Linked DNA regions of Xenopus tropicalis. The protein of the gene in region 2 interacts with the protein of the main gene of each other region in a pairwise test. Links are inferred from orthologs where the notes say so. Each region holds a gene or a part of one and is shown on either strand. Other genes may lie near its edges.

The links.
Region 1: the proteins of map1a (region 2) and rhob interact in a two-hybrid assay, tested with the Homo sapiens proteins (2 studies listed by BioGRID and IntAct). The link is inferred for Xenopus tropicalis from reciprocal best matches to the Homo sapiens genes MAP1A and RHOB.

The regions. Positions count from the first base shown.
Region 1 is NC_030681.2:143,341,394-143,345,387, reverse strand, and holds rhob (rho-related GTP-binding protein RhoB), read right to left. Parts: upstream 2,603-3,994; 5' UTR 2,432-2,602; coding exon 1,841-2,431; 3' UTR 578-1,840; downstream 1-577. UniProt on the Homo sapiens protein: Mediates apoptosis in neoplastically transformed cells after DNA damage. Not essential for development but affects cell adhesion and growth factor signaling in transformed cells. Plays a negative role in tumorigenesis as deletion causes tumor formation.
Region 2 is NC_030679.2:107,201,141-107,204,791, reverse strand, and holds part of map1a (microtubule-associated protein 1A), read right to left. Parts: coding exon 1,460-3,651; intron 193-1,459; coding exon 1-192. UniProt on the Homo sapiens protein: Structural protein involved in the filamentous cross-bridging between microtubules and other skeletal elements.

The DNA.
Region 1 (3,994 bases), on a different chromosome or scaffold from region 2:
AGCCTCCCACAGCCACTGCACTTAACAGGAGCCTGGACTTGGTATATCATGAAAGCCTTGGGCACTAAGCTAAAAAGGTGGGAGCCCTAAAATCAGGAGTAGCCAGCTTATGGCCCTGAAGCAGTTAAACTATAGCAAATGTGATTGCCATTGATAGCAATATGTCAGCCCTTCACTGTTCTCTGGTTCCGACTTTTGAAACAATGTAGCATAAACCAGTTATCCTGCAGGCCAGTTAATCCACTGGCTTCTGCTACATTGTTTCAGGAGATAAAAACAACCTGACTGATACGGTTTTCAATGGCAGTTGCAAATGAACTGTAAAACCTAACCAGTTAGCCTTCTGAGGTACATGGCTGGGCTAGTGGTGTGTGCTGGGAGTTGTAGTTTCTCCAGTTTCAATCAGTGCAGCCATAGTCATAAATTAGCATCCCAATGCATAAACAATAACTCTTCCTTCATATACAGATGTAGAACACCATGCAGATGCCCAGCACTACATTCCCAAAGAGGTGCAGAGAGATGCAGTTTAGCACCATATTACAGCATTAACCTAATAAACACAATGCAAGGGAAATAGGTTTACATAGTGCTTTTTTTTAATATTTCACATAAAAACCAATATATACATATCAACATTTTATGTAAACATTCAAAAATTCATTTCATACTGTTCTGTCAGCTTTGTTTTGTCTTGAAAATCACAAATTTAGTACCACTGTCCAAAAATAGCTTTTTTACCCCCCCCCCCTCCCCCAAACTGGACTTTAACAATGTAGTGTCAGTTGCAGAATAAGGAAAACATAACGACTCAACTGCAACTCCCAACATTCCCCAGACTGTGGCTAAGAGCTGTTGGGAGGCATGAAGGCTAAGGGCCACAGCACATGGGGCAACATTGGGCACTTTGTGCTGCATTTTTCTGTAGCACGGTGCAATAGTAGCACCCTCAGCACTTCTCATTACATTCTATGGGGGGCTACTAAACACCAAGTGGCCGTTAGAGCACCCCCACGTTGCCCCTTGTGCCGCTGCACTAACACGCCATGCCGCAGTTATTAAAGGACAGATCAGTGTGCAAAGAATGAGTCCCTAGTGTTACACTTGAGGATGGCAAGTGCGTTAAACGTCAAAAATAAAGGGGGAAAATGTGCAAAAAAAAAAATTAAATTTGCGAAAGTCACAGAAAAACATTTTACCCGGTTCTGATCATTCAGAACAAAAATGTATCCAAAAGTATTCCCCCCTGCCCCCTTTGGTGCAATGGGAGAGCCCAGCAATCAATGCACAGCTGGTTTTAGTTCAGCACTGAAGTGGTTAATGCCTCTCTACCCCTGAGGGGGGGTCACAGTTACAGCTCAGCAAATGACAGTTTTGTAGCTGCTGCTCGTAGCCGGATTGCGGGGTTTGCTAGCCAATGTGGCTATAGGAATAACCCCCAATGTAACAGTATGAGGGCGACTACGTGGAACAGCTACACAACTCCCCGCTGCCCTGAGCGTGAAACATTAAAGGGCACAAAGGGGGTAGAAAAGATGGCAGTTGGGGTACAGCCCATGCAGCTTCTCCCCCCCACAAGGCATGACAAGATGGAGAGACAGAAGTCCTATGTACAGGGTAATACTGAGGCTCTGGGGCAAGGAGATGCCCATGGTGATGCCCCAATACCCCACTCATTCTCCATGTTCCATGATGGCGGCTCAGCTGTGGGGTAGCAGCCCCTGTGGCTCTGAGCTGGGTCCCAGGGAAGGGCAGTCCCCCCTCTCCCTGTACTACCGGAAGCAATAGTGTCTCAGGCGGAATGTCCCCTCTGTGCAGAGCAGGATGAGTCCGGGGGGGATCAGAGGAGCTTACAGCAGCTCATACATTCACCGCTCCGGCCGTGTTTCTTCTGCAGCGCCGCCCTAGTGGCCGTTTCGAACACCTCCCGGACCCCTTCCTTGGTCTTGGCCGAGCACTCCAGGTACTCGAAGGCGTTAATCCTCACGGCCATGGCCCTGCCGTCCTCGGTGCGGACCGGCTCCTGCTTCATGCGGGCCAGCTCGTTGCGGACGTGCTCGTCGTTCCTCAGGTCCTTCTTGTTGGCCACCAGGATGATGGGGACGCTGGGGCAGAAGTGCTTCACCTCGGGCACCCACTTCTCCGGGATGTTCTCCAGCGAGTCCGGGCTGTCCACGGAGAAGCACATGAGGATGACGTCCGTGTCGGGGTAGGAGAGAGGCCGCAGCCGGTCGTAGTCCTCCTGCCCCGCCGTGTCCCACAGGGCCAGCTCCACCTGCTTCACGTCCACCTCGATATCGGCCACGTAGTTCTCGAACACGGTGGGAACGTACACCTCGGGGAACTCGTCCTTGCTGAAGACGATGAGGAGGCAGGTTTTGCCGCAAGCTCCGTCCCCGACCACCACCAGCTTCTTGCGTATCGCGGCCATGGCTGCCCGGCTGCTGCTGCTAGAGGCTGCCCGGTGCTTTCTCAGCTTGCCTATGGCTCTAATGGCGAGGCCTCTCAGAAAGAGACGGGTCTGTAGGATGCAGTTCCTCGGTACTACACGCCGGTACCGCTAGAGCAGCTCTCTCACACACAACCACACCGCTCGGCTCTCAGAGCTCATTCACACCCAGTAATGCAGCGCTCCGGCCTTATAAACAGGCAAGCTGCGTTCTTAATATAGCCAGCCAATGAGCGGGGCGCCGGTGACGTTATGCACAGAGAAGCCGTGCGATGATTGGAGGAGGAGAGTGGCTGGGCGTGGCCTCATGCCGCTGACTCTGTGACACTGGCGGATTCTTTACTTGAGCTGCTGGGGGAAGGGGATGAGGGGCTGATATTGTCCCGGCGGCGGAGAGACACGGTGACATGTGGGGTTCAGCTGTTATGTGGGGGGAATGGGGAAGAGCCCCCTAAAGTATTAACTTGCCCTTTAGTAGCTCTACTCAGTTTAGCAGCGTGTTAGCGATATACTATGTCAGAGTTTGTGCTGTAATAAACGCTATCAGTGATGATAAAGGACCGAAAGAGCTTACAGTCTAAATGGAGAGGGGGTGTGACCCTAAAGGAAGGAGACCCTGCAACTGCTGTGGGGTCCCAGAGATATAGCGGGCCCCCAGAGATATAGCTGGCCCCCAATGATATAGCAGGACCCCCAGAGATGTAGCAGGCCCCCAATGATATAGCGGGGCCCCCAGAGATATAGCGGGCCCCTAGAGATGTAGCAGGCCCCCAATGATATAGCGGGCCCCCAGAGATATAGCGGGGCCCCCAGAGATATAGCGGGCCCCCAATGATATAGCAGGACCCCCAGAGATATAGCAGGACCCCAATGATATAGCAGGACCCCCAGAGATATAGCGGGGCCCCCAGAGATATAGCAGGCCCCCAATGATATAGCAGGGCCCCCAGAGATATAGCGGGGCCCCCAGAGATATAGCGGGCCCCCAGAGATGTAGCAGGCCCCCAATGATATAGCAGGACCCCCAGAGATGTAGCAGGCCCCCAATGATATAGCGGGCCCCCAGAGATATAGCGGGGCCCCCAGAGATATAGCAGGCCCCCAGAGATGTAGCAGGCCCCCAATGATATAGCAGGACCCCCAGAGATATAGCGGGGCCCCCAGAGATATAGCAGGCCCCCAGAGATATAGCAGGGCCCCCAGAGATATAGCAGGGCCCCCAGAGATATAGCGGGACCCCCAGAGATATAGCAGGGCCCCCAGAGATATAGCAGGGCCCCCAGAGATATAGCGGGGCCCCCAGAGATGTAGCAGGCCCCCAATGATATAGCAGGACCCCCAGAGATATAGCGGGGCCCCCAGAGATATAGCGGGACCCCCAGAGATATAGCAGGCCCCCAGAGATATAGCAGGGCCCCCAGAGATATAGCAGGGCCCCCAGAGATAAAGCGGGGCCCCCAGAGATATAGAGGGCCCCCCAGAGATATAGCAGGGCCCCCAGAGATATAGCAGGGCCCCCAGAGATAAAGCGGGGCCCCCAGAGAT
Region 2 (3,651 bases):
CATCTAACACAGCTCGATTTGGCTCTCCGTTACCTGGATCATTACCGCTTACAACATAATATGCAGAACGAACTCTCTTAAAGAACTCCAAATCCGTATTCTTCTCATTACAGTGATTAGGAATATATGCCAAGTCAACATAGACTGGTGGCCCAGGTGGAACTGTGGAACTTGCTTTGGAGCCGCTGAGACCTGAAAATGGTAAAAAGCATGAATATATAGCATATATACAGTATTTATAGCAGCTGAAGAACAGTTTGGTCATCATATTAACTCTTTACTTATTACAGTGTTTTACCACATTTATTAATACAAGGTCTTATTGTGCTGGTTGAAATATTGTATCAATATATTGCTATTACTGTATCACTCATGCTAGACAACATTTTCATTGTGCAGTATGCCATCTAGTTGACAACTTTAATACCAACTACTGGTCAGTTCTGATAGGTCAAACACACACTTTTTTTTCTAGGATGAGCCAGTAGACCATGGGTCCTCAAACTACGCCCCCCAAGGTAATTTACCTAGCCCCCGCCCTATCCTCACCCCTGGCTACTACCTGTCTGCCTTAGTGTGGTCCTCGCTGGATGCGTCATTAGTGGTTGCCGGTATAATGCGATGACGTGACACGCTGGGGCCAAGGACCACACTGGGACAGACAGGTAGTAGCTAAGGTTGAGGATACAATGGGGGTGGGGGCCGTAGTTTGAGGACTAACTATAGTTCGGCCCCCCACAGTCTGAGGGACTGTGAACTGCAGTAGGACCCCTGCAGTAGAGCTTTTGCCATGGATTCCAGCTTCAGAGAGCCCTATGTGAAAATGTTTTTGTGTATTTGTTGTTTATTGTTGATTATTACTGTTAATATAGGGATTTATCTGAAGTATTTAATGCATATTACATTTTGCTGCACAAGTACTGTATATATACACACATACTTCTTCAGCAGTTTTCTCCTAATTTGCATTCATGTACATTTTCCCTTCACTTGTTGGAAAAACGTTGACAAGCTCACACATTTATTAAAGCAGACAGATGTTTAAATTCTGCCAAATATTGCTTTGTGCAGTTAAACACAATCCAGCTTCAATTGGGTGTTAGTGCGCAACATATCTCAGCAGCAGCAGCACTGAGCACAAACACCCATCTAAAAAATTGCAAGTGGGGACTAAATTCAGACAATTATTTTTTGTACTGAAAGAAATTGTTCTGTATGGAAACTAAACTGTCATATTTTAAATGATCAGTAATGTTTTAACCAATCGTTAATAAATGGACTTGGTAATTGTTTGTGTGTGTGCTTATGTCCCACAACTCCTGGATTTGGCACTATATTTCAAGGGTAAGACAGATAAAATCTTCCTAAACTTTTGTGGTTTTATCTATAAAACAGTGTCTCATCCCTATAAATAAAAATATTGCACAGAAAATACAATAGACGTGGAATATGTATTTACCTGTAGATGACTTGATGCCATTAACCATCTTGCTAGTATTACTGTAACTGCCTTTAGACACTTCGTCTTTTTCTTCCCCTCTAGAGAACTGTGTCTGCATCGGGCTTCTTGGTTTCTGCAGTTTTTCAGCAGATTCCTTATCTTTCCTTATAGCTGTAGTTTTGTGAGATTTATCAGCTGAGTCCCTGGATGTTTGTTTAGAGAGTGTTGAGGAATACTTAGAGTCTGCTTTCCTAGCAGGAGAAGTTGATTTGACTTTTGTTAATGGTTTTCTGACTCCTTTGTTTTTCTCTTTTAGATCTTTTTTGAGCACCTTGTCCCCTTTACTGAAATTTAATTCATTAACTAAAGCATCTGGATCTACCATGCAAACATCAGGGTGAGGAGGGTGAGGCTGAGGGTCCATCATTGGAGCAGGATGAGGATCATGACCTTGCCTTGTATTGCTGTGGTGTGAATTCCCCATTGCTTTATCCACAGGAAGAAAATCAGCATCTTCATCTGAATCCATTGCAGCATCAGCAGTTATGGAGGGACACTCTTCAGTTTCTGGTGGAACATCAGAATCAGATTGAGAGGTTCCTGAGTCACTAACAGATGTAGGTGGTGTTTCCTCAGCTGTTGTGCCTTGAACATGGCATGTATTTGCATTTGCATGGTGTGTCCTACCTTTAACAGAAGGATGACCTTCATCTTGTGAGAGATCACTGTCATCTGATAAGTCAAGAGGACTTGGGTTGATGAATGAAGGAGAAAGTTCGCCTTTTCTGTGTAGATATTCAGATGATGACAACATGCGCTCATATTCACTTGATGATCCTAACCGAGGCTCAAACTCATGAGAGGCATCACCGTGGTCTTCTGTTCTCTCAGGACTTTGTGTGTAAGAGTAAGACTCTAATGTATGTACAGGGGACATAAGAGAAGAAGGTCGGTTTGGTTTCTCTGTATCCTCCTCAGAGCATGGAGATGAATCTCTGTCAGAATCAGGTGAGGTTTTTACTGCTGCTGAAAAACATTCACCTTCTTTATATTGGATGTTTTGAAAAAACTCTTGGCTGTTATTAACTTCTGTGGGACCATTTGCTGTGGATGTTTCTTCCTTTTGACATGATGGCACCAGACTAGAATATGATTGCATTGTTGCTGAAGTTGTTTCACCACTGCTCATTTGCTCATTCATAATGGACATCATCATGCAAGTTGGTCTCTTGCACTCTATTCTGCATGGCAATGTATTATCATCCGTATCATAGGAACAAGCAGAATTATGATCTCCAGCTGAATCCTTTTCTTCTGCCAAACAGGGCTTGGTGGAATCAGCAGGAACCAGAGGTGATACATCCCACAGACTTCTAACAGTTGCTTCGGTATCTGCAGTGTAAGTACTAATCATATGTGAATATAAACCTTCAGCAATATCCCTTCTAACAGGTGTACTAGCTTCAGAAGATGATCCCGAAATGCTTTGAGATTCCTCTTTCTGGGCATCTAGCTCTGAATATTGTTCATAAGGAATTTTAGGTATTGAAGGTTTCTCCTCAGTCAGACTTAGTGGTGAGTGATCAGGTGAACTTAACATTGAGTGTTTGTCTTGAGAGGAGTCCATTTCACAAGCCCTTTCAGAAACCTGTAGGTATTCATCATGTTGCCCTGTTGCTACATCTGATATAGTCATACAATTTGTGCCTAATGCGTTGATACCAGTGTAGGGCAATGATTCAAAGTGATGCTCGCTTAAAGCAGAAGGTGGTAAATTGTAGGTTTCCTTTTCTGAAAATGTTGCCTCAGATAGATATTCCCATTTTGGTTCTGGAAGCTCCCTTTCTAATGCACTTGGTGCTTCGTCATTTTGACCAAGACTGCAGCTTTCTAAAAATGTATCTTCTTTATGTGAATGTGAAAAGCTTTGTGATTCTTGGTGATCTGTTTGGTGACGTTCATCTGTAACATCTGAAGAGTCAAATTGTGCACTGAATGGGCAATATGTATATTCAATATCACTGAATACTTTGTTTTGTTTATTTTCATAGATATTATACCCTGTATTGTCAAAAGTGGGATGTTCTACAGCTGCTTCACCCCTTATTTGTACTGTGCTGCTTTGGTCGTGAACATTTGAATTTAAATCATGCTGTGTTTGCTCGGAATGTAATATGTAATCAGACACTCTCTCTTCTTCTATAATATTT